4 linked regions of the Stegostoma tigrinum genome follow. The protein of the gene in region 4 purifies or fractionates together with the protein of the main gene of each other region. This does not show direct contact. Links are inferred from orthologs where the notes say so. Each region holds a gene or a part of one and is shown on either strand. Other genes may lie near its edges.

Region 1 (6,823 bases), on a different chromosome or scaffold from region 4:
GACTTTACATTGGCTCCCAAAGCCTCAAGTTTAAAAATCTTCTCATATTCAGATCCCTACATGGCCTTACCTCTCAATGTCAGAATCAATTCTGATAATATGATACCTCCCTGAAATGGCTACTTGTGTAGTCACTCCCAATTCTCTTGGTAAAACATCAGTAACCATGTATTTCAATTGTCCAGTCATCATGTTCTGGAATTCCCTCCCTAAACTATGCCTCTTTCTCTTTCTTTTTCTTTCAATTTGACCCACTAACAATCCTTTTAAAATCTCCTTCAGTTTAACATTCATTTTTGTTTTATTACACCACCTAAATTTGTTAGAGCTTATTTTGATATTAAAGCACTATAAAGAATTGCAAGCTCCTATTACTCTTCCGTCAACATTCAATACAAGGGGTGGCATTAACTAGTGGAAGCCAAACTACGATAAAAGATTTCAATTCTCTGCTCTTTAATTTTAGCATCTTGTATTTAAAAAGGGGATTGTTTTGTTGTACGGTATAAATAATAAAAGTTAATTTATTCACAAATGTTCACTTTAGTGCTTGTACTAAATGCTATAGTATAGAGTCATAGAGTTGTAGAGCACAGGAACAGACCCTTCAATCCAAATTGTCCATACAAACCAGATATCCCAAATAAAACTGGCACCATTTGCCAGCATTTGGTCCATGTTCCGCTAAGCCCTTCCTATTTATATACCCATCCAGATGTCTTTTAAATGTTGTAATTGTACCAGCCTCCACCACTTCCTCCGGCAGTTCATTCCATAAATGCAGCATCTTCTACATTAAAAAGTTGTCCCTTAAGTCCCTTTTAAATCTGTCCCCTCTCACCTTAAACCTATGCCCTCTACTTTTAGACCCCACTACCCCGAGGAAAAGACTAATCACCCTATCAGTGCTCATGATTTATTAAACTTCTATAAAAGGTGACCCCTCAGCCTTGACACTTCAGGGAGAATCGCCCAGACTGTTCATCCACAACAGATTTGAAATGTTTCGGTGGAAATTGATGTTCAAACAGAGGATTTTCTACAAGACATTTTAAAATTTTATACTGGATAAGTCAATAATCAGGACAGTGTATAACTGTCAGCTGGTTATTGATGCACTTGTCAAAAATATATTGTGTATAAAAGGGTAGAAAACCCGATTGTCACAATTGAAATTGGTGCAGTTTACAGTTACTCAGTAATCAATTCCCAATACAATTATATATGAACTTACTTTATAAACATGAGAAGTCTAATTTATCAATAGAATCATAAATGGGATCAAACATTGGAGTTTTTAAAAAAATATCGCGTTGCAAACCATCAGTCCCCCGATGTTCTTCACTTTTAGCTCCACAAGACAGCTGTAAGATTGTCTCTTCCCTCAAAAAAAATGAATTTTTCATGTGCACTTATCCCCGATATAATTTAAGAACAGGAGGCGGCACGATGGCTATGATCCGCACCGCTGCCTCACAGCACTAGGAATCCAAGTTCAATTCCAGCTCTGGGAAACTGTCTATGTGGAGTTCACATGATTTCCACGTGTCTGCGAAGATTTCGTCCCCACAGTCCAAAGTTGTGCAGGTTAGATGGCTTGGCCGTGCTGAAATACAGGGTTAAAGGGATAAGGTAGGAGGATGCTCTCGGGAGAACAAAGTGTGCAGCTGAAGAAGGGTCTAGACCCGAAACGTCAGCTTTTATGCTCCTCAGATGTTGCTTGGCCTGTGTTCATCCAGCTCCACACTTCGTTATCTCGGATTCTTCAGAATCTGCAGTTCCCATCATCTCAGATGCTCTCGGGAGAGTCGGTGCGGACTCTGTGGGCCGAATGACTTGTTTCCACGCGGTAGTGATTCTATTCTAAGCTTTCGTTCTGCTATCTGAGAAACCCCTTAAATGCATCCACACACAGTACATAACTTGCATTTCTACATTATTCCTCACGTGGACAGACACAAATCAAGAAAAACGGCCATGGACAAAGCGGTGGAGAAAACGGAAGTAGCTGACAGATACAAAAATCATGCTTTCTTTTAAAAAAGGGAGCTAAGAAAAACATGTGGGAAGTGAGTGACTATCACTAATACTGCGATTACTACAGAACATTGATGTGAGAACGTTGGGAGACATAAGCAGGTCATGATGAGGATATTCAAATTAACGGAGTTTTACTCCCATATAATATGGTCAATCAGATCAACGTATCGTCGACAGATACCCGCCACCACCCAGCTCCCCGTTCCCCAAGCCCTTGCCTCCCTCCCACAATTATGCGAGACAAAGTAAATTATTTATACGGAGAACATTGCAATTGAAAGTCTCATCACACTCCCTGTTCCAAACTCTCACATTGACAGCTGCTCTAAAGTCTCTATTTTCAACACCTCCTGCTGCACCATCTCTCCTCTGCGGCCCCTGCTCTTTCTGCTCTAACGTGTTGCGATACTGACATTGCTTGTCCCTTCAACCACACGCATGGTCTGCCACACGTTGAACATACTGGACCAAAATAAAAGACACAGGTACTGAGTCCAACCAGACTTATCCTATGTTTCGTTCTTAATTGCCGCACAATTCATAACCTCACAAACCATCACTGCTTGGCCAAACTTCCCGAGCTGCATAAATGAATTATTCATTCAGCAGACATAAGAGACTCACACCAAAACAAAAATCGGGCTATTTGCACAAAATACACAGGACAACCAAAAAGAACGAGTTTTGTCTGTTGTGAAAGAAAAGTGTTGAAAAAGACTGAAGGCGGGTTTTCTAAAATCAGCGAAAAATCCAAAAGACAGACTGAAAAGCTATGAAGAGAGCCGTAGTTTCTGTTTTTCTCCCCGTGCCGGACACCCGACTCCGTTTAAACGCTGCTAGTGACTTTGATGAGGCAACGTTGATCTAAAAACTGGAGCAAACATTTGAAGAGAACTTACACCTCCATCCTGCTTCCGCTCTCGGGCCCTGACAGCCGCTCTGCCACCGCAGTTTGGTTCCGACCTCTCACCGGAGGAAGAAACTGGCCGCACAGGCCCACGTGATTTCCGGTCATGAATCCCAGCCGCGGCCTTGAGCGGGAGCTGGTTCTGGGCCGGGGAACTGCTTCAACTGAGGTATTCGAACCAGATGGATAGAAATAATGTGTAAGAATATGGTTCATGGCTGGGTGTCTCTTCAGTGTACTCCATGACGTTATAGAGAGGTGGGCGCCGCAGGGTATACACTTCTTCATTTCTTCCAGCAACTCCAGTTTGATTTAGTCCCTTCCCCATCCACCTCCCCCCCGTTTAGATGGTTTGCATCGCCAGTAATGGCCTTTGCTTGTAAGCATCTAATATCTAAAACGGGTGTTTTACTTTACTGGTGGTGGTTGTTGGTAAGTTTTTTAAAAAAAAGCAGTCATGGTGATTTTAGTAGTGGGAAGGTCACTTAGTTGTGTGAGATAGCACTTCTGGGTATAAACAAGGTGCAGGGTAAAAAAGAAAGTTATGGTAATTTGGTGGTGTTTGTTTGTGTGTGTGTGTGATGGCACCTCTGGACCTGTAAAGATATGTGTCCCTGTTGCTGGACTATTGGTCCCAGGTTCAAGTTTCCCTGCTCCACAGATGTGTAATAATGTATCTGAACAGGTTGTTTAGAAAAATATTGTGTAAAAGTATAATTGAGAGACTTGTAGTGCAGTAGTAATGCCTCTGCCTATGGACCTAAAGACCTGTATTCAAATCTTACCTGCTGCAGACAGGTGCTGCCTCAGTACCAGGGCTATCATAACACATCTAGGTAGGTTGGTTAAAGTCTCTATCAAAAGTAATTTAACGAGAAAATAACATTTTACAGGATGTGATGTGGGCTCGAGTGAGGAGGCCTAGGTTGAAGTCTCCCCTGCCGCAGAAGTGTACAGTCACGTCTCTTAACTGGCAGATTAGAAAATCTGTGCAAATATATGGGTGCTCTGTCATGCCGTGCTAGCGTTCCTGCATCTGGGCAGAAACCTTGGGTTCAAGCCCCACTTCAGATGTGATTTTTAAAAAGTTTTGTTCAATGTTATAGGAGTGTGTGGGGAAGTAGGAGATTAGCACAAAAGGTGGAATGGTTAGTGAGGTGGAGTGGCTATAGAGTATGCAGCCTCATAGTGTTATTGGGGGGGGAGCGACCAAACAAGGGTTAGTGCGCTTCGGGGGCAGCTATGATCAGCCTTCTGAAGGAAGGAAAAGCCATCTTTGGATATTGAGCTGAGCAGCTTAGATTTGGAGATAAACAACAATAATGAGCAGCTATTTTTGCACTAATTATGAGCCTTTAGTCCTAAGGCATATCGAGCGGTTGTGCACAAGGCAGGGAGGGAGCCAAGGTGATGTCCCGATTTGGTATACCAACACAACTGGGCTTCCTGAATCCTATAGTCCACTTTGGTTGAAGAATCACTTAATCAGGCAGAGAGCCTCATTTCTCCAGCAGCAATCCATTAAATAGATATCTGCTAACAACTATTATGAAACCAGTTGAGGCACAGAAATGCTTCAGCAGCCTCCTGTCGCCATACCAGGGCCACCATAGAGCAGGCACTGTAGTCCTCAAGATTTGGTTCTGGTAGACAGATTAGGGGATGTTTTCCAGTACAGTCACTCAAGGATTCTTGAATTGGAGTGGTATGTTGCACCCTTAAAAGAATAACCCTCCTATCAGATGGGATCTTGATGAAGGAGAATTGGAGGAGAGGTACTGCCTTCGGTGTTAAGAAGGACCAGGGTAATCTAACCCTTGTGAGGTGCTCCACGGGTCTGGCTGAGCCGTCAACACAGCAAGCAGGATGGAAAGGGAGCTAGGCCCATCTGTTCAGCCAATTTTCTGTTAGATCCCTTCAAACTGGAGGTCCAATGACCTAAACTCACTTTTTCCAAAGTGAATGAGCAAATTTAGGAAGTGCACAAGGCATAATGTTTCCTCTGTTTCCCCACTGCCTGCATGACAGTTCTCAAACTGTTCTATTTCAAATGTGTCCACCCCCCCTTTCGTTATTTGTGAATCTTAAAGCCATCAATAGTTAGAATTGTGGATGTGACATTAATTATTTCATTACATTGAATCCTTTTCCGTAATCACAACCACAGTAAGGATCAACAAGGTGTGCCAGTACTGCTGACGTAGCACACTTTTCTCTTGACTAAACTAACTGAGTGCACTTCTTATGGTAGAAGTTGAGATTAATGCAACTGGGATGCCCATGGCAGTTTCTCATACACGAACACCTCAACAGACTTCTCTCTGATGAAGGGTCTAGGCCCGAAACGTCAGCATTTGTGCTCCTGAGATGCTGCTTAGCCTGCTGTGTTCACCCAGCTCCACACTTTGTTATCTTGGATTCTCCAGCATCTACAGTTCCCATTATCTCTGATACAATTTTAACCTCACTGCGAGGCCTCTTCCAGGGATGCCTAACCTGAAGAAGTTACCCTCCTCCCTCCGGACCAACCTCAGGGAATCTCTCTCCCACTGCAACTCTCTTGCAATCTCTTCATCCTTGAAACTGCTCGACCATGTCGTGAAGCAAACCAGGTACCACAGCCACATCACCTTCCTCAGCACCTGCCTACGGAACTGGATCATCCCCAATGGACCACAGTCTACATTCAAGCCTTCCCAATTTTGCCCCAACCGTGACCACCTCTACACCCAGAGCATTCAGACCCTTCAGAAGCGTTTCTCCCTGCGAGTCCTGCGTCGGCACCTCCAGGCATTGCAATCCAGCCTGCCCCAGCTCAGAGCCTCCCTCTCCCAGACCAGCAAAGGACCTCTCCTGTTTTTTATCCTCCACAGGATCCACAGACTGAACACCAGTTCTACTCAGCTTTACTGGACTCCAAAAATCGTAAGTACTACAAACTCATTGGCTCCTGGCACCTTGAAAAGGATTCCTGCACCTCCCAAATCCCGAGCCAGTCCCTGCCCCTCCCCCACCAAGCACCCGCCACCATTGACCATGAGGACATGGCCGGAGACCCCACCGATGACGACACATCTGCCACCGCTGGGCACACCACTTCTGGGACCGCAGATGCGACTGCTGCGGCAGTCACCACCTCCACTTCCAGTTGTAACACCACACACCACCCTCACCGCTGCTGCCGCCGCCCACCCTGTTCCTCCCACTGCCGACGGAACCCAGCCCATGGCTGATGCCGACGGAACCCCGCCCACAGCTGACGATCTCATCGCTCCGCCCACAACCTCAACAGCCGGGAACCCCAGAGTAGACAGCCACACAGAGCCCTGCTGAGTCTTCACCATCCCTGTAGACCTCCCACTGACTAGGATGAACGGTCATTCCTAAGCAAGGGGCTCACCTTTGTCCCCCCACAACCACACATCAACAAATACCAGTCACGTTTGGACATAGAGCAGTTTTTCCGCCGTCTTCACCTCCACGCTTACTTCTTCAACCGGGAGCCTAACCCTCCCTCCACTGACCCCTTCACCCGCCTCCAACACAAGTTGTCCTCCTGGACACCACCCCCAGGCCTCCTACCCTCCCTCGACCTCTTCATCTCCAACTGCCTCCGAGACATTAACCGCCTCAACCTCTCCACCCCTCTCACCCACTCCAACCTCTCCCCCGCAGAACGGGCAGCCCTCCGCTCCCACCCCAACCTCACCATCAAACCCACAGACAAGGGTGGCACAGTGGTAGTACGGCGCACTGACCTCTACATCGCCGAGGCCAAACGCCAACTCTCCGACACCACCTCTTACCGCCCCCTCGATCATGACCCCACCCCCGAGCACCAAACCATCATCTCCAACACCATTCATGACATCATCA
Region 2 (7,954 bases), on a different chromosome or scaffold from region 4:
TACTCAACAATAGAACATACCTTCTCTTTCATTTCAAAGGTTAGCACCAATCAAACTGTGTACCACCAATGCGGCTGGGTGGATTCCAATACTGCACAGAATGGAAAAAATATGATTTGTAGGTTCTTTGTCCAAAATGTGGCTGTATCTGGGAAAAGATTACTCTTTGTGTTTTATGGCATGGGAAATGCCATTTGTCTAAGCTACCTTATCCAAAAATGATATTTATCAATTCCTCACTGCTGTTCACATTTAACATAGATATTATGCTTGCTTTACACTGTAGTTGGTCAAATTGAAAGGAAGGCAATTTTGTTCTAGCTAATCTCAGGATTCAACACGTGAATAGGTACAAAAAGTGAAGAGAGCGTCTGATTGTCGCCACAACCTCTCCTATTTCTTCCCACATGTTGACAATCCTGTTGCATGTTTTCAGCACTTTTTAAAAATCGAATTCTGCCAATGATTCAAAGAAACAAACTTACTTGCACAACGAATTACACTTCAGAGCACTTGGTCCGAAATTATTTCCAACGTAAGTCAATCTATCCGTCTCAGCAGACTACAGTGGATGAAAAAGGAATCATTTTAAATGAAGTTAAACAATTTCAATGAGCTAGCAATGTTATTAAAGTAGCTTAAAGAAATCATATAATAACTTTAATCATGCCAGTTTTACTATGGAGCAAACTGTTGTAAATGTTTTACTGCGGAAGAACACCTGTCCTTACCAAGATCAGTTGATGCTTTTTCCGGGGATGATTTCTGTGTATATTTTTATGCAGCTGAAATTCCACATTTTCTGAATTTGTGAGTTTCCCATTGGAAAACTGAACTGCAAAACAGGACAGTGTTGTCATAAATTTCATTAGTGGCCCACGGGATATCTTTGTTCAGCAACCACATCAAACTAGCAGGGTTAATGATAAGAGTACAAAAGCTAACAAAGTGTGGAGCTGGACGAACACAGCAGGCCGAGCAGCATCTTAGGAGCACAAAATGATAATCTGGCAGTTTTGATGGTTATTTTATCTGGAATTTGCCTGTAACCGTTACCTATCAAATCTGCTACCACAACTAAACTTTCACTCTTCTGCCTCAATCCCTGTGCAGCTGAGCCAGTCATGAATGGCATGAACTTGGCTCCTGCCATACTCCTCTGAGAAGTGATTGCTCTCAATACCACCCAAAATAGAAAAAGTTAGTTAGTGAGAGAGGGTGGGGGATTTATACAGGGACTGGCAGTCACACTGTTCTGCTGGCATGCTATAAACGTTTGGTGTAGCCACCTCCTTAAGCATGCTATCAATGTAACCTTCAGCTTTGAGGATACAACACAGCAAGTCCACCTGTGCCATAATCAGTAAGGAAATCAAGGATTATGGAGAACAGTCAGAGAAGTGGAGTTGAGAATTATTAGATTAGCCATTGTCTTGCTGAATGGTCTACTTGCACGCCCAGATTTAATCATAAAATCCATACAGGGTGGAAGGCGGCCATTGGCTCATCAAGTCCACACCAACTCTCTGCACAGCTTTCCACCCAGAACCACCATATGCCCACATTCCTTGTGACTAGTCACCTGGTCTGCACATTCCTGGATTCTAAGACAATTTAGCACTGCCAATCCACCTAACCTGCACACCTTTGGACTGTGAAAGGAAACCCGAGCACCGGGAGGAAACCCACACAGACTGGTGCCCGAAACTGGATTCAAAGCCAAGTCCCTGGAGCTGTGAGGCATCAGTGCTAACCACTGAGCCACTGTGCCGTCCTGGTGAATTATCTCATCCACAGGACATCACTGCAAGAATTCCTCAAGATAGCATTTTAGGCCTAACCCATTTTCAGCTGCTTCAATGAGCTCCTTTCCATCAAAGCATCAGGAATGGGATGTTCACTGATAATTACATAATGCGGAATGACCCACATTATTAACAACCTGGCACTTACCAGTGGGCAGAAGTTGAGCTGAACTAGCTATTTAATACTGTGGATGCAAGATCAGATTAGAAGCTAGAAATTCTGCAGCAATAAGCTTACTTTCTGACTCCTTAAAGACTGTCCACCGTCTACAAAGCCTAAGTCAGGAATGCCACAGCATACTTCCCACTTACCTGGGTGACTACAGCTCTGGCACCACCAACAGCAAAGCAGTTTGCCCAGTATCCAACCTTTAAAGCTCTCCCCAGCAGCAATATTCAGCCACAGAAGTGTGCACCATCTCCAAGATGCACTACAGCAGCTCACCTAGGACCTTTAAACCGCACCTTCCAAACCAGTGACCTCGGCCACCAAGAATGACAAGGGCAGCCAGTACATGGGAATATCACTGCCGGCAAGTTCCACTTCATTTCACACAGACCCCTGACTGAGACCTATAGTGATAATCCCATCGCTGTTACTGGGTCAAAAATCCCGAGCAGGACTGTGGGTGCACCTACACACCCCAGGAGTCGCAGCAGTTCTGCCACTTTATTGAAGGCAATTAGGGGTGGGTAATAAATGTTGGTACAACTAAAAGATGCCAGATATTTATGCCAAAGATGCAAGAACGAAAGTATAAATAAATGAAAGAGTATCTGTAACGCTGTGACTTTTTTTTCAGATTTCCAGCACTCACAGTATCAGATTTTCAACTACTGCCCTTATATGAGCCAAGCTTCGCTTTTCCACGTCTGCACGACAGTAATTATACCGTAAAAAGTACACGGTGGGCAAAAGTGGTCTGAAAAGTCTAAGTGCTTATGAAAGATGCTACACAAATGCAAGTTTTGTTTCCCCGGCTGTGCCTTTGGATCTACATTCCCAGCCATTCCGCGCTGCCTGACTAATCCAAATATTCCCAGAGTCGCTACCGAGTGTCGCCGACTGCTCCGGATCCAATTCCGTTAAATTCCTGTACTTCCACACACCGAAAGCTGCCATCAGTACAAACACCAACCGGACGAACACTCCGCAAACGCCGACACCAGGCCGCACACTAACTTCTACCGGGCCCACGCCGCCCGGCGCCAGCGACACCGCCACCTACCGGGCCCACGCCGCCCGGCGCCAGCGACACCGCCACCGACCAGGCCCACGCCGCCCGGCGCCAGCGACACCGCCACCTACCGAGCCCACGCCGCCCGGCGCCAGCGACACCGCCACCTACCGAGCCCACGCCGCCCGGCGCCAGCGACACCGTCGTCCAGTATTAACATCATCAACAGTCCCACAGAACAGCGCTATCCAGAGGCCAAAGCTACATACATCATAGCTTAGGCGCAAATTACTGCAGATGGTGGAGTCTGAACTGAAAACTTTGTCTTTGCTTTACCTTTAGTTGTTGTACTCTCTGTCACCGTGTCCTCTCTCCATTCCCTCCTGTCCAGTAGGACTGTCTCTGTTCTTTCCAGTCTGGCAATTGGACACACCACTGTTCGGCCATTCTCACATTCTGATCATTTAATCTGCACTATCAACATCCTTTCTCCACCAGCCCTCTTATCTCCTCCACACTTCACATCACCTCTGATGAAGGTTCGTCTAGACTTGATATGTAAGCTTGCTTGATCTCCCCAGGTGCTGCCTGATCCGCTGTGGTTTTCAGCATTCTTAGTTTTCAATACATCGCAGTTTGATGATTTGGATCACGAAAACTACATTTATATAGCACCTTTAATGTACAAATTCTTACAGTGCTCTGAAATAAGTCAGTTCTGTAGCTGACTCATTTTTTTAACAACTTAGAGAAAGCCCTTTGTCCCTTGAGTCTGTTCCAACACTATAAGCCTCTAACTACTCTAATCCAAACTTCGAGCACTTGGCCCGTAGCCTTTCTGCCATGGCATTTCAAGTGTTCGTTGAAGTAGTTCTTAAATGTCATGAGGGTTCCTGCTTTACCACCCTTTTAAGCAGGGAGTTCCAGATATCCACCACTTCTGTGTACAAAATCTTTCCTCAGATCTTCCCTAAAACCTGATTCTTACATTTAAAAATGTGTCCCTGGTTATTGACCCTTTTACCAAGGAGAAAAGTTCCTTCCTATCTTCCCTATCGTATTGCCTTCATAGCAGGTCAGCGAGCATCCGAGGAGCAGGAAAGTCATCATTCATCATTCATCATTTTGGATCAGAACTCTCCTTTAGGATTCTGAGTCCTGCACCTCGGATGCTCTCTGACCTGCTGTGCTTTTCCAGGTCCATATTTTTTGACTCTAGCATCCAGCACCTGCAGCCCTTTCTGTCTCCATATTGCATTTATAACTCAGTACACATCAACCATGTCCCCCGCTTCAGACTTCTCTGCTCTAGTCTCTGTTAATAGCTGACTCACTACAAGCCAGGCAAACTCAACTCTCATGCAATCACTTCGTTTAGTGTGGCAACCCAGAACTGCACACAGTGCTTACGGTATGGCCTAATTCTGTTTCCTGGCTGTCATGATATTGTTAACCAGTCTCTCAACTCTTTCCGTCTTATTCTTACATGATTAGTGTTGTGGGATTTCTTACATGTATCTGATAGAGCATGTTGTGCCTCAACTTAGCATTTACTTCAAAAAACAGCCCCTACTAAGCACAGCATTTGAGTATCAACCAAGGCTTGTGATCAACTCTCAGGAGTGAGAACTCATCCTTCAGCCCTCTGACTGAGAGATGATTATGCTACCATTACTTTGTAAGCCAAGATTCAGGTCAGATTTCTGTTTCCAAGAGGAAACTGCTCACTTTCCAAATTGGATAATTCTGGTCGTGCTGCTCAGAAATATCAGAGGAGAGTAAAAACACAAGGAAATCCCGAGGTAATAATGTAACCAAATCTCAGTGACCTGCGAGGTCCTGTGCTACATGCAGGGGGGTGGGGTGCAGCTCAGATTTACACACACAACAGAACCCCACTAAACACCTGTTATAATACCCAATGAAGCCAGCAAATGCATGTTGCAATCTGGTTGGAGACCAGTAAGGTTTTCCTTGTTTAAGTTAAACAAAGTTTTGAGATTCCAGGTACCCTTCAACAAATTAAAGTCACAAGATTCCACCAGACAATAATAACTACATTTCAAATGTACTTCAATTGTCTGTAAAGTAATTGGTGACTATGAAAAGCACTATTTGAATGCAAATCATTTTTAAAATCAACACTGTAAGATTTTCAGTTCATTTGGGCTAATATATTCCTGATGAAAAAAGAAGGACAGGCAACACATAGGCTATAAAAATTCTCAACTTTGCAATTTCTCCTTTCACATTTTACTTGTAACTTGAATGAAGCATTTTCATAATATACAATGTTTTCTGATGCAAGTGAAGTCTGAGATGAAAAGTCTCCAATATCTTGCACCTTAATAAGTAAGTGATGAAATTAAGTTTCCAATTGTTCACTTTTCAGTTGCATTTTCAAAGGTTTTCACCAGAATGATACTAGGCAGAAGTGAGCCCAAGACTATCCTTTAAAATTTTATTCGGGACAATTATGAAGGCACGAAAATGGAGCTGGCTAAAGTAAAATGGTAAATTAGGTTTAAGGATGGGTCAATTAAGACCATAAGACCATAAGTCGTAGGAGTGGAAGTAAGGCCATTTGGCCCATCGAGTCCACTCCGCCATTTAATCATAGCTGATGGGCATTTCAACTCCACTTCCCTGCACTCTCCCCGTAGCCCTTAATTCCTTGTGAGAGCAAGAATTTATCAATCTCTACCTTGAAGACATTTAACATCCCGGCCTCCACTGCACTCTGTGGCAATGAATTCCACAAGCCCACCACTCTCTGACCACAGAAATGTCTCCTCATTTCTGTTTTAAATTTACCCTGTCTAATCCTAAGGCTGTGCCCACGGGTCCTAGTCTCCCCGCCTAACAGAAACAACCTCCCAACGTCCACCCTTCCTAAGCCAGACATTATCTTGTAAGTTTCTATTAGATCTCCCCTCAACCTTCTAAACTCTAATGAATACAATCCCAGGATCCTCAGCGGTTCATTGCACATTAAGCCTACCATTCCGGGGATCATCCGTGTGAATCTCCGCTGGACATGCTCCAGGGCTAGTATGTGCTTCCTGTGGTGTGGGGCCCAAAATTGAACACAGTATTCTAAATGGGGCCTAACTAGGGCTTTATAAAGCCTTAGAAGCACATCACTGCTTTTATATTCCAACCCTCTTGAGATAAACGACAACATGACATTCACTTTCTTACTCACGGACTCTACCTGCAACTTAACCTTTAGAGAATCCTGGGCCAACACTCCCAGATTCCTTTGTACTTCTGCTTCATGAATTTTCTCACCATTTAGAAAATAATCCATGCCTGTATTCTTTTTCCAAAGTGCAAAACCTCACATTTACTCACATTGAATTTCATCAGCCATTTCCTGGACCACTCTCCTAAACTGTCTATATCTTTTTGCAGCTTCCCCACCTTCTCAGTACTACCTGCCTGTCCACCTATCTTTGTATCATCGGCAAACTTCGCCAGAATGCCCCCCGTCCCTTCATCCAGAAGGACATGAAGCATGTTGTTGAGCTAAACTGTTAAATTTTCCTAGCCTTCCATAAAATTATGAACAAAAATTCTCAAACATTGTGGTCCTAGCTGCCGACATGCATCTCCAAGGGATGTATACTAGCTCAATACTGAATTTGGCAGGAAAAATTTGGGCCTAGCTTTCAAACCAGAAAAATTAGGCCAGCAGGGCATAATTAAAAATTCGTTAAAACTGATATCAAAAAGATCTTAAGTATTTATTCAGAGAGTGATAAAGCTTGGAATGATCTGCCAGACTTGCAACCACAAATACACAAGCATGTCTTTTTTTAATGTGTTCAAGAAATAAAAAAACAAATTCAAGAGAGACTAAAATTTGTTATCCTTTTGACACACTTTTAAAAAACAGTTTAAACAATTGTGATGCTGATGGCAAGATCAGACCTGTTGATCAAAAACAATTCTACAACTGTCAGACTTGTGCGTGAATTGCATAATTGAGATAGCTCCAGTTCCACAGACCACGCATGAACATAGATCTTAGAGTATGATCACTCTGGGGACAGAGTAACATAAAATGGAGCTCTCCTATAATTTACCAACGCTGCACTGATTCGTAGCAGGAGGTCTCAAGTTCTATCTTCCAGCTGAGTAAGTTAGCAGAACATAGGAGAGCCATAACTAGCCACAACATCCTGAAATGACAGCAAGTGAAAAAATACTGATCCCTTCTGGACGAACACTGGATGAGGCCAAGAAACAGACACCTCCTGTCTGCCGAAGGTGTAGCACATGCCTATTTACCTCCTCCTTCCCCAGTATCCAAGGGCCCAAGTAAACCTTCATACAATCTAGTCTACTGCATTTGCTGCTCACAAAGTGGTTTCCTCTACACTGGGGAAATTAAGTGTAGACTGGGTGTCTGCTCCGCAGAATATCTACGCTCCGCCCACAAAAAAGACCATTGGCTTCCAGTTGCCTGCCACTTTAACACACCTGCCTGTACCCTGGTCAACATCTCTGTCTCAGGCTTGCTACAGTGTTCCAGTGAAGCTCAGCACAAGCATCCCATTTTCCACCTGGGGACACTGCAGGCCCGTGGACTCAATATTAAGTTCAATCATTTTAGAGCCTATACTCTCCAGTGTCCTGGCCCCTTACCCACACACTAGGCCTTGTTATCACATGGCCTGCCATTACACACTACATATTGTTCGTCACTAACAGTGCCCATTAACAGCTATTCACCCTGCCAGCCTGATCGTTATCGACCTCTTTGTCTATCCAACGTCTCTTCCCTCTCCCTAGGCTCTATCTCCACGTATCGTTTGCTCTTTACCCCTCCCATCACCCTATCTTCTGGATATAAACCAACATTTATTGCACCTCCCAGTCGCGAACCATTTTAACTCCCCCTCCCATTCCTTAGACGACATGTCCATCATGGGCCTCCTGCAGTGCCACAATGATGCCACCCAAAGG
Region 3 (7,536 bases), on a different chromosome or scaffold from region 4:
CCAAAGGAAGTGAAGGAGGCTAGTACAATTACAACATTTAAAAGGATGGGTACAGGAATAAGAAAGGTTTAGAGGGATATGGGCCAAATGCTGGCAACGGGACTAGATTTATTTTGGATATCTGGTCAGCATGGACAGGTTGGACCAAAGGGTCAGTTTCCATTCTGTATACATCTCTATGACTCTAATAAAGCAGTTAAGAAAGGATATGGGATTCTGGGTTTTATTGTCGGGTACAAATGCCAGGATATTATACAAGAATTGACCGAAATAAAATACCAGTGCTGTCCAATCAGGAGCATTGTGTCCAATTAAGGAAGATTACAAAGATTTTGGACAGAATTTTAAAAATTAATAGAATAGGTTCAACAATGAGGGATTATAATTGCATAGAAAGACTGGAGGAGGTGTGAGACCTCTTGAAGCAAAGAAGATAAAGATGAGATTTGACTCATTCAAGAAGAAATTCAATAAATAATTGAAGAGTAAAAACAGCAAGGATGTTGACTGCACTTCAAAGAATCTTGAGTGGAGAAGTGGTTCCCTTCTATGTTCTACATCTCTACAGTAATTAAGGAAACTAGTGGGAATGGCTGATGAATAAAGCCCAGCCCAACCAACTGAAGAGCTACCAAGGCCCAGGCTGACATTTGCTCTTGCAATTCAGAGCACCGGCATCTGGGTGGTGGCTCAGGGTCCATATTACTGCTGCCTTGGAGCATGTTTCTGATGCCTCTGATGTCATTACTCAGATTCATGTAGCTATTCTCCCTGTCCAGTTGCTGCTTTCATATAAACATACATTTGGAATACTGTGTGCAGTTCTGATCTCAGAGGTAGTAGGAACTGCAGATGCTGGAGAATCTGAGATAACAAGGTGTAGAGCTGGATGAACATAGCAGGAAGGCTGACGTTTCGGGCCTCGACCCTTCTTCAGAAAATGTACAAGGATGCTGCCAGGATTGGAGGGTTTAAGCTTATAGGGAGAGGCTGAATAGCTGGGGCTATTTTCCCTGTTGCAGTCAGAGGCCGAGGGGTGACCTTATAGAGGTTTATAAAATCATGAGGAGCATGGATCGGGTAAATAGTCAAGGTCTTTTAAAAATTTAAAAGCACTTTCTGTTTCTGTGCAGTACATCTCTGTGACTCTATATTAGAATCAGGGGTAGGCCATTCAGCCTCTTGAGTCTACAACACCATTTAGTAAGATCACAGCTCACCTGATTACAACTCCAAATCCCCATTCCCACCAAACCCTGATTTTCATCACCTAGCACAAGATGATTGTACATACGGTTCCTTGAAAATTCCACTACCACCACTTTTTTTTAAAGAAACAGAGTTCTAAGGCTCCCAATGCACAGCCGAGAAGAAAAATAATCTCATCATTGTTTTAAATAGGTGACTGCAACCCTTAATTCAAGACTCTCCCATAAAAGAAAACATCCTTTCCTCATCTGCCTATCAAGAGCCTTGCTCCTGAGACGCTGCTTGGCCTGTTGTGTTCATCCAGCTCCACACTTTATTTTGAATTCTCCAGCATCTGCAGTTCCCATTATCCCTTGCAAGGTGCTGTTGCTCATCACCCATACCATGGTCGATGTTGCCAATGCCCAGATCCTTAAGACTGATACTCCAACCGCTGCTGTTTCCCAGGTCCATGTTGCTGATCCTTCTATGGTCCAACTACCCTGTGCTATTATGCTCCGTTACATGCCTCATGGCCCACTGCAGTTATGCCTCCTCTATAGCTGCTGCTGTTTCCCAGGTCCATGTTGCTGATCCTTCTATGGTCCAACTACCCTGTGCTATTATGCTCCGTTACATGCCTCATGGCCCAATGCAGTTATGCCTGCTCTATAGCCACTGCTGTTGCCCCTGTACATGTTGATGCCTCAGGGCCCATGCCCCATTGTTGCCCCCCCCCATGACCATGCACCATTGTTGTTGTCCCCCGCCCCGAGCCCGTGCCCCATTCTTGCCTTCTTGCCCTCCGGCCCCCCACCCCCGCTCCATGGTCCGTGCCTCGTTGTTGCCCTCCGGCCCCTCCAGCCCGTACCCCATTGTTGCCGCCCGTGACCCCCCCCAACCCCCTCCAGGGCCCGTGTCCCATTGTTGCCCTCCGTTACCGCGCCCCCCCCCCTCCAGGGCCGTGCCCCATTGTTGCCCTCCGTTTCCGCCCCCCCCTCCAGGGCCCGTGCCCCATTGTTGCCCTCCGATTCCGCCCCCCACCCCAGGGCCCGTGCCCCATTGTTGCCCTCCGTTTCCGCCCCCCACCCCAGGGCCCGTGCCCCATTGTTGCCCTCCGTTTCCACCCCCCCCCCTCCAGGGCCCGTGCCCCATTGTTGCCCTCCGTTTCCGCCCCCCACCCCAGGGCCCGTGCCCCATTGTTGCCCTCCGTTTCCGCGCCCCCCCCCCCTCCAGGGCCCGTGCCCCATTGTTGCCCTCCGTTTCCGCGCCCCCCCCCCCTCCAGGGCCCGTGCCCCATTGTTGCCCTCCGTTTCCGCGCCCCCCCCCCAGTGCCCGTGCCCCATTGTTGCCCTCCGTTTCCGCGCCCCCCCCTCCAGTGCCCGTGCCCCATTGTTGCCCTCCGTTTCCGCCCCCCCCTCCAGTGCCCGTGCCCCATTGTTGCCCTCCGTTTCCGCCCCCCCCCCAGTGCCCGTGCCCGTGCCCCATTGTTGCCCTCCGTTTCCGCCCCCCCCCCCAGTGCCCGTGCCCCATTGTTGCCCTCCGTTTCCGCCCCCCCCCGCCCCGACACGAACCCATGCCCCACGTGCTCTGGGCTCGCACTCACCTGCACGGCCCTAGCCAGCCCCTCGCTCACCGCCTGGTCGAACGAGTCCACGTGAGCCGCGACCAACTCCAGCAATGCCCTCCGCCGCTGCCGCTGCTCCGGGTCCGGGTCCAAGCCCACTCGCCCCATCCTCAGCCCCGGCTCTGTCAGGTTCTTCAGGCTCGGCCGGAGCCGCTCTTCGCCACACAGCTGCCTCCACTTGTCCGCCATTTGTCCAACGAGATAGAAGGATCGGGGGGGCAACAACGGCAAACGATAAAGGTTCCGCTTCAGGATCGCCGAGCGTGCGCAGGAGGGAGGGGGATGCAATGCTGAGTTCCCAACTCAAGACATTTGGATTGTGCCTCAATTCATGTTCATTCATTTTAAACAGATAGCTTTTACTTGCATGAGTATTATTCCAACAATATGTACAAAACAAATTAGTTGATTGGAAGGTAATGACATTTCCTTTATATTTAAAAGGCGTTGTTTTCGCCGAAATCAAAAGATAAATGTAGTTGTTGTAATCGTCGAACAGAAACATGATGTGGAGTGCTTCCTTACTGTCCTGTGTTGACAGCATCACCTTGATAAAGTGTTATGATCATAGAATCCCTACAGTGTAGAAGCAGGCCATTCGGCCCATCGAGTCCACACGGACCCCAGGAACAGCGTCCCACCCAGGCCCATCCAATCCCCGTAACCCCGCATTCCCCATCGCCGACCCACCGAGCCTGCACTTCCCTGCAAACTATGAGCAGTTTTTGCACGGCCAAACCTACACATCTTCGGACTGTGGGTGCAGGCTGGAGCGCCCAGAGGAAACCCACACAGTCATCCAAGGGTAGAATCAAATCTATGACTTTGACGCTGTAATGCTAACCACTGAGCCACCATCTCTACCTTAATTAGTTTGTAGATTGGAAATATTCATTATTTTGCTTAGACCCTCAGCATGTGACTGCCATACCTATCCTGTTATTTCCAGTTAGTTTAGTTGTTTTGTAATTATCTCTCTGCCTCATAATCGGATTATAGGCGTCCCTTCACTTGTTATTCAGCTGTCGACTCTTTATTCACACCATCTATCACTCTCGGATACCTGCAGGGACTTATCATTGGACTCACACCAGTTCTAACTCTCTGCCCTTGATTTCTGTTGTCTAAATTGGTCTGTGTGCTCTTTGCTCACACTTCACCTGAGCAAGAGGCTGCGCTCCAAAAGCTTGTGATATTAAATAAACCCGTTGGACTATAGCCTGGTGTCGTGTAAATTAAAAATAATCTGTAAACACAGTTCCATATGTTGTGCACTTTTTGATGGTATTTATTGAGTCAACCTATGGAGACCATAATCTCTCCCTCATTTTACATTCACGAATGTAATTCAATCCGTAAATCCACAAAATAAAAAAAGACAACTGCAGATTCTGGAGATCGGAAACAAAAACAGAAATTGCTGGCAAAACTCAGCAGATCTGGCGCAGTTCCAATTAAGAGACAATGGCTTTGAAATGTTAACTCTGCTTTCTCCCACAGATGCTGCTAAACATGCCGAGTTTCGACAGCAATTTCTATTGTTGCTGCCAATCCATGGTTTTTTTTCTGATGAAGAGTCTAGGCCCGAAACGTCAGCTTATGTGCTCCTAAGATGCTGCGTTCATCCAGCTCCACACTTTGTTATCATGAATTTCACCCTGTCCTTTCTTTTATTGATAAGATTTGTTAACAGTACAAATCATAGTACAAGGTTGGCTATACAATGCAACAAACCCTTCGATCTTATCATCTGTGTTACATTGGTGCATTTGATCCACATGCATCCCTCATCCATTTGGAAAACTGTTCACTTTTGTCTGTTACTAAGAAAGTTTTACACGTTAGAAAAGGATACTTTCAGCATAGAAGGGAGAAATGACAAAGAAACATTAATCAGGCTTAAAGCTTGTGTGCTTTAAGAAATTTTTTGAAAAATCACAAAAAATAAATATTATCTTAAAAAGACTCTAAATTATGCCAAAAAAGGAGGTAAAGGACATAAGTTATAAATCAGTGTTAATTTGGTACAGGTATCAGGAGAACCATTCTTACCCAATGAAAAATGTTTAAAATAATCTACCAAGCAATGTAGTAGAGGCAAACCAGTGCAGTTATTTAAAATACAATTACATATATCCCAGATTTTTCTCCATTGTTGTAAAGGTCATAAAGTTCAAAATGTGAACATCTTTCCCGATTATAAAGAGCAATAGCCTAGGCCTTAAATTTAAAGATATTAATTCAAGAACAAAGTTCTAATGCTCTCCACAATCTACCATTTTGTTGCCATGGTTTATAAGAGCAACCCAACTGAATTACCATGTTAGGGTACACATTATTTTCTATGTGCCCATCAATCTGAACCTTTTTAGCAAATGGCCATGGAACAACTATCCATGACATTACATGACTATTGTCCCCTTGCCCACCTTAACCTGAGGGTTTGTTTACGATTCTTTCTGAGAATAAATACTTATTTTCAAAAACAATATACTGGCAGGGTCCTAAAGAACTACAGATGCTGTACATTAGAAAAAAAAACAGAAAATGCTGGAAGAACTCAGCAGATCTGGCAGAATCTGTGGAAAGGGTTACTCAATCCAAATCGTTAACTCAGACTTCTCTCCACAGTTTCTGCCAGATCTGCCGAGCTTTTCCACCAACAGGGTTTGTTTGGTACCAGATACTTGTTGATGCTAATTCATGGCATTATGTCCTTTTTTGTAATTTTTCATTTTAATTTCATATGAGAACTTTGAAATTGAAGGTACAGGTGTCCTAGCTTTTAAATGAAACCCTGTGCTATATACAGCAAATACTAGGAAAATTTAGTTTTAAAGGGACACCAATATTCAACAGCCTGTATCTAATAAAACTTGATGTTCCGACCCCTCCTGATTACTTGTGCTCCCCGTGGTGATTTGTTTTATTTTAGACTCATATAAAGATCGACACTATTCATTACTCTGGATCCTCCAATACCATAGCATTTGACGGACAGATTTTCTACACCAGATGTTATCTTTTTATCTTCCTTTATCATTTGGTACTTGGTCTGTGATGAATTTCTACACAATATTTGTAGAAGTAAAACTTGTAAATATTCAATTATCTGCACCAGGTGGGAGATGTTCCTCTCTTCACTACGGCTGTTCATGATCGTTTCTGTAAATGGTTGTATTGCATTAATTCAGTATTGTTTAATTTGGGCTTGATAACATCCATTAAAGGTGCTAACATGAATGTAATAAATATCCCAAGGCACTTCACAGAAATTTCATTAAAGAAAATTTGATACTGAACTACATAAGGTGATACCTGAACATGTGACCAAAAGGTAGGTCAAAAGGGCCATCTTAAAGATGGTGGAGCAATTTAGAGGGAATTCCAGACATCAGACATTGTGTGGCTAAAGCCTCAGGTGGGAAAATGGGAAAATTTGCTCCATTCAATTGCAGAGTCAGAACAATGTCCACATGGGTATAGATCAAGGCCATATTTATCACAAGAACACAGTCTCAATTGACACAGTTTACATATCAGGGAAGTTCTAACATGGATCTGCTCAGAGTTGGCTGACTCAGCATAAAAGTGAAGGTGGAACTCAGCATGCACCTGCCTCATGGATCAGTATCGACTGGAAGATGTTATAATAGAGACAAGTTGAATTTTGTTGCAAATTCTGTAATGGTCAAGTGGATATAATTTATAGTTATTTAAAAACAAACTTTATGAATAAGTATGCAGTCTCAGATAACTCAGTAGAAGGTAGCGAGTTTGGAGAAGATTTGTAGCTCAAGTTGAGTTTCTGGATGTGAGTTTGCTCCCCAAGCTGGAAGGTTAGTTTTCAGACGTTTCGTCACCATTCTAGGTAACATCTGTTACCTAGAATGGTGATGAAACGTCTGAAAACTAACCTTCCAGCTCAGCGAGCAAACTCACATCCAGAAACTCGTAGAAATTGGTGTATAGTGAATAATTTATTTCAATTGCACTTTCCATCATTTTCAATTTGAAATATCTTATCATTAGGCTATATGCTAACATGGAACATTTACTGTAAGTACAAGGGATCCCCAATTTATGAACACACGCTCATACTTATGAGCGCTGTCCCATACAGGGTGTAATTTTCATGACTCAACATTCAACCGTTTATACTGACAAATGGCTGTTTTACGTTGTCCTTCATAGTGTTCTGACTTGCATACAAATCGAGTTGCCAACAGACTCTAGACCCTTTCACACCTCAAAGACTACTCATATTGAGACCATCACACTTGTATAGAGACACCGAGCAGTGAAACGTGATGTATGAAAACAAGTTGAATTTTGCTGCAAATTCTGTAATATTCAAGTGGAAATAGCTTGTATTAAAATTGTAATTGAAGTCTACTTGGGTTATGATATTCCCAGGTCCTTACCGGTTTAATGATGCTTCTGCATTTTGCTCTTTGTTACAACAATATTCTCATGAGATCAGGGTGACTGGGCTGTCAAAATGTTACTTTCCAAGTACTGTTGAGAATACTTAGTTAAAATTAGGGAGATTAAAATAAAGACAGGAGATCATTGGTAACTCTTTATTTTCATGATACTGTTTTGAAGTTAGATACTGAGAAACATGCACTAATAGCAACATGTCATCACAATAATCTGCCTGTGATGAGTTAGATGACACTACAGTGCACTCTCAAGAAACTGTAGCAAATATTCTGGGA
Region 4 (7,206 bases):
CCAAATGGAGTCATATGAAGTTCCTGATAAAAAGTAGCAAGCCCAAGGACTGGGAGCAGTTTAGAATTCATCAAAGGAAGACTAAAAGTTTGATTAAGAGGGATAAATAGAGCATGAGAGTAAGGAACATAAAAGTGGATTGTAAAAGCTTCTGTAAGCGTGTAAAATGAAAAAGGTTAAAGGTTAGTGAAGACAAATGAAGACAAACTCACAATCTGAAATGGGAGATTTGGTCATGGAGTAGAAGAAACGATAGAGCAATTAAGCCACAACTTCTGTTCTGTCTTCATACAAGACAAGAAAATAAAACTTCCCAGAAGTGCTAGGGAAAGAAGGGTCCTTTGGGTATGAATAATTGACAAAAATTACCATGAAGGAAAATATTTCAAGAAGAATTAATGGGACTGCTAGTTGAAAACTCCTCAGGGCCTGATAATCTACATTTCAGGGTACTAAAGGAGTTGGCCACTGAAATAGCAGATATGTTGGTTGTTATCTGCTAATAATTTACAGATTCTAATTAGGTCCCAGAAAATTGGAGGATGGCAAATGTAACCCCAATATTTTGAAAAGGAGGAAGGGAGAAAAGTGGAATTTAGCCTAACATTAGTTGTAGGAAAAATAATGGGAGTCTATTATGAAGGATGTGATAAACAGAACATTTAAAAACTACCAACAGTATTACACAAACTTCAACATCAGTACCACATTTCCAAACAGGACAAAGATTTACCAATAAACATGTCCAGGTGGGTACTGGAACCTTCAAGAAACAAAGGAAGACACCAACACACTTATTATCACACTGATCTATAACTCAAGAAGTTTTCACAAAATTACTTCTAGAGTAATTGAACGAAAGAAAGTACAGGACTTCTTCCTGGTCACTTGGTCAATTCACTTAATCACAGGTAGGAGGAGGCCATTACTTCAACAAAAATGTTACATCTATGCCTAAGTAATTGCAAGGGAAAACTGTACATATATAGAATCCCAACATGAAACTCCAGAATCCTGACCTGGAAATGCAGAAAACTTCATCAACAATGCCAGCAACTGACACAATATCAGTAACATAGAGTACAATTACTACACAACAGGAGTAACAAAAACAATAATGCATGGCCATTCTTTACTGAAAACAATGAATGTGAAACCACAAGATGGACACACAACATTCCATCACCAAAGCCATAATAAAGTCACAAATAATCCTTTTCAGACAGTATAAACTGAGCAATAAAATATTCTTGTATGTTCAATTTATTTATAAAAGTTAATTATCAAACTACTGTAGTTAATAGAAAAAGTGTTAATTGTTGGGATTGTTATATTTGCTTAGAGTCTTTCGAGGAAGAGGGAGGATATGCATTTAGATTATTCATAAAGAACTTGTTATATAAATATATATCTAAAGGCGCTGCATTCAGTCACATTACAGTCATGTGCTGAGTAACAATGTATCAGTCTGTCAGTCTACAACCATATGGGGAGCTGAAAGAAGAAAAAATGCAATAAAGTTGAAGCATTCTTGAATCTAAAGTGTAATCGGCCTGAGTCTTTTGAGGATTGGCAAGTGCTGTTATATTGTCACTCCACTCATAATTTTCTCCAACTTGCCAGAGCTCCACTTTTCTGGCCCTGCTTCTGTTTCAAGATTCTACAGAAATTTGGAATGTGTCTGAAATGGAACTGCTTTAAATGTAGCATTGGATTGTCAAGATAAGACATGCACAGTAGCTGTGTTCTGCAAAGCTAACTTTTCCAACCTTTCCCTGAAGAGCACAGAAAGAAAGGTAAGTGTGAAAGAGGGTGAGTGTGGGTGGGGTAAAATTGTAGTGTAAGGGTGGTCGGTCAGGTGGTTAAGGGGATAGGTTTACTGTGGATGTATGGTAGGTGAGACAAATGGTTGAGGAATGGTTACGGTAGCACATGAATGCAGTGGATAGCTTGGAACAGTGGGCAAGATGGTATGAAGGTAGTCAGGTTGGCAACAAATGGATTGGGTCAGTTGGGCATGAGTCAGGGTGATTTGAGGATTAGGCAGGGTAATTGGAGTGTCAGGAGGAAAGCTTGTACAGTTGCAGGGGTAACTGGGGGGAAATCAGTGTAAGTGGCTGGGAGGTAAGGTTGGGGAGACAGTTGGATAGCTACCCAGGAGTGAGACCAGATTTTGTCCTGTTCCAACATTTCCTGGGTAAGTGTTCAGCAAATAGATGTATATGATCCAAAAAGTCTCCTACTATACCTGAGAATTGGAAACATTTTCGGAGGGCCCCAGAAACAAGGCATTGCAGACCAAAAGTTCAGATTCATCAAGTCCGGTGGAGTCCTTCCACTGGGACTTCTAAAGAATTCAATAACATACAGACTGGGCTTACTCCAGAAAATAAGTAAATGAAGACCAGGAGATCTGGGCTATTATTGCTAACTTATGGAAACCAGATGACATCAAATCAGTATTTATTTCAGTCATTTACTTTCATAAATTAAAGAGGTGCATAAATTGTCCCAGTGTTCAGCAAGGTATCATTATCTTTTTGATCTCACTGGACTATTATCAGCTGGCACTTCCAGTAATTTGACGGCAAAAAAACTAAACTTGCAATTGCAAATCAAGCTAATGGGGGAGACTGCAAATTCCTTGTTCCAGACAAATCTGATCCCACTGATCCAACAATGATATATATCTCTTGTTTCTTATTTACAAAAATTGCAAGGATTTCTAGTAGCTATATGTACATCACAGTACAGAATAACAGGGGGTTTCACTGATCAATTTTGTTACTGCTGAACAAAGCAATTCTAAGTACAAAAATGAATATATAAATTAACATCCTCACAAGTACCCCTTAAATGAAATTTTTGGTGCGCAAAGTGTTAACATTTCAAATTAAAATAAACATATTCAAAACATTCAGATATTTTTCTTTGCTAAAAGTACACAAACAAAACTCAATCCAGAATTATTAAGTGATTGTAAAAATGACTTTTTATTAAAAAAACACAATATGGCAGTATTTAAAAATCAATAGTAAAATCGTTCAATTCGAAAGACGTAAAAAACATACGATTAAAATTGTTTTAAATAAAAACTGCTTATCTTAGGCTTTTCCATTAATTTAAAATGATTGCTGTTGAGATGTCATAAAAATATAAGTAAATCACAAAACAAGTGAGCTCTACACTTTACCAACGCAAGAACGTTTTCTAAACTGACCACTTCTACTTCAAATATTTGCAAGGTTAAATAGAAACTTGAGTCAATACTTGATGCATGGACAAAACGACCTGAACGACTGAACAAATTAATAGATTAACGAGAAGTACATCAATATTACAGCGGTGAAATGAAATTTCATTGTTAAATATCAACGTATTATTCGCCTTTACAAAAACAAATTACTGCGGATACTGGAAAACGGGCAGGTGGTGGACAGAATCAATTAAACATCTGTTTGTTAGTGCTCTCAGAGTGGCAGGTTTTATGTTGTCCATAAACAAGCACATATAGATATATATAAATATACACATACGTCTCCCTTCTGAGCGCAATAACAAACACTCCTGAAAGCATGGCGAGACGTCTAAAATGCACGAAGTCAAATATCAAAGCAGCCTCAGCAATCTATGCAACAAGCGGCTCTCCCCACATCTCAATCCAGCAGCTTCCCAGATAACGGTCACATCAAAAACGTTCTCCTGCAGACTCTGATTTATACCAGCGAAGCGGTATGGGAAAAATAAATCAATCACCGGAGTAGGAAGATTTCACGTTAAAAAGACTGAGTTGGGAGGGGTAGGAGGCGCCTGCATTTCTCTCACACACTCCCTCCAAGATTCTTCGTCGTCAAGATACCAATAACTGCGAAATAAATATCAAATGGGTTTTCCTTTACGTTTACTTTACCTTTCGTGGTGCAGACAGCAAACACTAACCATACAGCGCCATACAATTCCAAGAAATCGTGCAAGTAACTGAATGTTTCAAGGCGATTGGTGAACATTCACTGCGAGAACTTCGGTTTTAGTGTTCAAGATTTGTACAGAAGATTACCAGTCAAATAAACTTGCTTAGTCGGGGAGCCACATTGACAGGACAGACATCCAATTACAATTCGAGATGCCACAAAGATCTGCCCACCGACGAAGGCAGGCGTGAAAGGCAAACCAATCAAAGCGCACGACAATGTCACCGCTTCCCCTCCTGTACCCCCAAAATTGCAGCAAGTTAGTGTGAAGCCGACCTGAGGAAACCTTTCTGTCTCTTAACGTTGCCTGCACGAATGGGGAGAGCTGTAGGTGGTTTGTATTTACGAAGGGGAGACAGAAATGAAGAGACAAAAATAATTTCCTGGAGGAAGTGAATGTTATTTCCCGTCATTATTCACAACGACCATGTTTCAGTCAGCTGTTTCTTTCGGAGCACGTATGATCAGGCGGCTGAGATAGGCCATCCTGCTGCGGACAGTGGAGGGGCGGGGAAAAGCTGGGCTTTCGCGGTCTCCGCGGCGGCTCGCTCCGAGACGCGGCTTTCAAAAGAAACCGAAGAAGTCGCGAGCTTCAGAGCAGTGTTAGAGTCGCGCGAGAAGTTGTCATGGAGAAAGATGGCGAACTCGAGAGGTAAACAATATCTAATGACTTCAGCCAGAGACTATGTTAATGTCATTATCAGCAGCACAGGGGCTTACTGGCCCTGTCCTGTGTGCGGTGTCTTGGCAACCGACTCTAAACAAACCCGATTCAAATTTTGTGTAAGAGATAATGGGAACTGAAGATGCTGGATAATCTGAGATAACAAAGTGTAGAGCTGGATGAACACAGCAGGCCAAGCAGCAGCTTGGGAGCGCAAAAACTGACGTTTCGGGCATAGACCCTTCATCAGAAACCTTTCTGGTTACCTGTTCGATATCGCGTTTGTTGCAGGCCTCCTCGGGCGTAGCGTATTCCCAACTCTGTATACAGAATGTGTATATCTGTAAAAAACATACCAGCCCGGTGTGACGTGTTCCGCCTCGCAAATCTGGCATGTCATGGCCATTCCCCTCCCGCCCACAACCTCAGCAAGGGTTATGGGTCAGCTAGTGCCGACATAAAATTCAGGCTGCCCTCTGACTATACATGCCAGAGAATATGCTAGGGTTCAGAAACCTGGCACGTTACCATCCATGATAACAAGGTGTAGAGCTGGATGAACACAGCAGGCCAAGCAACATCAGATAAGCAAGAAAGCTGACGTTTCATTTTCTGAAGAAGGGTCCACACCCGAAACGTTAGCTTCCTTGCACCTCCAACGCTGCCTGGCCTGCTGTGTTCATCCAGCTCTACACCTTGTAATCTCAGATTGTCCAGCATCAGCAATTCCTACTATCTCTGAATCAACTTTACCATCAATGACGTTACCATGTCGCTAGCCTCGCAACTGGAACATACTGTATGAACAGCACTATGCTTATCACGATCCTTCAGTTACTGCTCATATAATTTTGAAAATCAAATCAGCACGTGGAATAACACTACAGGTATCCTAATTGCATTTTTTTTGGAATGTCTATTCAGAGTTAAACTGAATTTGTTGCACTTGTAGCACCTAACATAGCAACTGAAATGAAACAAAGAACTGTGAATGCTGGAGATTTGAAGCAAAGAAAAACAAAAGAGCTGGAGAGACTCAACTGATTTGGTGGCATTTGTGGAGTGAAAGCAATGTTTTGAGTCCAGTGACCCTTCTTCAGAACATAGTAATTACTTAATTTCATGTGGGATGTAAGGCCCACTATGACATTGTCCAAGTAACATGTATTTGCTTGACCATTTGCAGTTTTTATTGTTTACGTAATGTGCCACCCCTGGTCTACTCCAAGGCTGGGCAACTTGAGGTTGGCAGTATTTACATTTTGGTGTTCTTAGGGACATAACTGTTGTGCAATATCTCTGCCCAGGAGACCTCGGTTCGAGGTCTCTGAACCTCTGAACAAGTTGGTTAGAAGACCTCTCGAGGTGTAATATGCCCAAGATTTGTGGGGTGGTCAACACCACAGCAAGGAACTCAGCAAATCGCACCAATCTGGCCACCCTGGGCTGTATTATCTGCATACATCTGTTTCAGTTCTTTTCAAGGCCTGTCTTGAGATTTTTTTGAATTTCAAAGTCTACTTTGTTCATTTCCATTAACTCCATTAGATGATACATTCATGTGATAACATGACTGTCTGTGTTGGTGTTGATTTTTTTTCTTCAGTTTTTATGTCATTTTAGTAATCCAAATGGAAAGATTGCAGTACACAGCAGATTTTCCAATTTTAAGACAAGGATTAATTAGTTCAAAAGAGCATGGTAACCATGTGTCAATGCTATAATCTGAAGTGCTATTCCCCATTCCAAATTACCCTTGAAAAGCTAGTGGTTAACTACCTTTTTTTGAGTACACCTGAGTAGTTTGCTAGTCACTTTCAGACGTCTGCTAAAAGTCAATTACATTGCAGTGTATTTGGATTCACACGTAAGCCTGAATGTTTAAGGTTGATCTCTTTCCCAAGAGAACATTAGTGCATCAGGTGTTTTACTTTACAACAGTGCAGTTGTTTCATTTAAGTTTAAATTCCCTTGCAAGAAGGGAATTTAAAACATAAAAGTATCTTGCCACACATCTGTCTTCACTGCTCCATGTTAGATGCCTTGATATCTTATGTCTTATATTAGAACCCAGATACCATTTGCTGTTCAGTGCTTAACCCACATGGAGGCTGCATTTACATTGCAGAGTCAACATGAGGTTGCTCTGACACTAATTACAGTTAATGTGTGGCCAAAGCAGAGAAACACCAGAGTGAAGTGGAGCAGAACAGCCTGTAGGAGGGCTTTTGAATCAGTCAGGACGCAACGTGGACAGCTCAGTTTAAAATTCATGACAAAAATTAAAACTGATTTCTAGCAATCTTGAACTTTACTACAAATGCATGCTTAGCAACAACCTAACTAAAGTCAGTAATAAATTTAGGGTAAAAAACACTTAAAGATGTGGCATCAGTATAAGGAAATGGATTAACAAATTAAGTTGTTTGGAGTGTATGATCCACTATTATCCAGGTTTAACAGTTGGAAATGATGAGGCTACAGCTTTGAGGCACATGCCAGACAGGGAATACAATGTGCATGTCTTGTTTGCACGCTTTAGTCTTTATCACCATATCACTCTCCTCTTTC

The links.
Region 1: the proteins of si:ch211-140b10.6 (region 4) and crcp purify together in Homo sapiens (affinity purification with mass spectrometry; 5 studies listed by BioGRID and IntAct, with this or other methods). This does not show direct contact. The link is inferred for Stegostoma tigrinum from reciprocal best matches to the Homo sapiens genes POLR1D and CRCP.
Region 2: the proteins of si:ch211-140b10.6 (region 4) and polr1e purify together in Homo sapiens (affinity purification with mass spectrometry; 3 studies listed by BioGRID and IntAct, with this or other methods). This does not show direct contact. The link is inferred for Stegostoma tigrinum from reciprocal best matches to the Homo sapiens genes POLR1D and POLR1E.
Region 3: the proteins of si:ch211-140b10.6 (region 4) and polr1b purify together in Homo sapiens (affinity purification with mass spectrometry; 5 studies listed by BioGRID and IntAct, with this or other methods). This does not show direct contact. The link is inferred for Stegostoma tigrinum from reciprocal best matches to the Homo sapiens genes POLR1D and POLR1B.

What each region holds. Positions count from the first base shown.
Region 1 is NC_081380.1:23,486,364-23,493,186, forward strand, and holds the start of crcp (DNA-directed RNA polymerase III subunit RPC9), read right to left. Parts: upstream 3,010-6,823; 5' UTR 2,948-3,009; coding exon 2,940-2,947; intron 1-2,939. Other genes in the region: uncharacterized protein LOC132211035, read left to right, coding at 3,130-3,146, 5,821-6,280. UniProt on the Homo sapiens protein: DNA-dependent RNA polymerase catalyzes the transcription of DNA into RNA using the four ribonucleoside triphosphates as substrates.
Region 2 is NC_081356.1:12,667,295-12,675,248, reverse strand, and holds the start of polr1e (DNA-directed RNA polymerase I subunit RPA49), read right to left. Parts: upstream 3,004-7,954; 5' UTR 2,929-3,003; coding exon 2,859-2,928; intron 836-2,858; coding exon 732-835; intron 563-731; coding exon 486-562; intron 1-485. UniProt on the Homo sapiens protein: Component of RNA polymerase I (Pol I), a DNA-dependent RNA polymerase which synthesizes ribosomal RNA precursors using the four ribonucleoside triphosphates as substrates.
Region 3 is NC_081357.1:19,879,681-19,887,216, forward strand, and holds the start of polr1b (DNA-directed RNA polymerase I subunit RPA2), read right to left. Parts: upstream 3,018-7,536; 5' UTR 3,005-3,017; coding exon 2,795-3,004; intron 1-2,794. UniProt on the Homo sapiens protein: Catalytic core component of RNA polymerase I (Pol I), a DNA-dependent RNA polymerase which synthesizes ribosomal RNA precursors using the four ribonucleoside triphosphates as substrates.
Region 4 is NC_081359.1:78,384,844-78,392,049, forward strand, and holds the start of si:ch211-140b10.6 (protein POLR1D-like), read left to right. Parts: upstream 1-4,190; 5' UTR 4,191-4,597; coding exon 4,598-4,623; intron 4,624-4,901; exon of another isoform or gene 4,902-5,038; intron 5,039-7,206.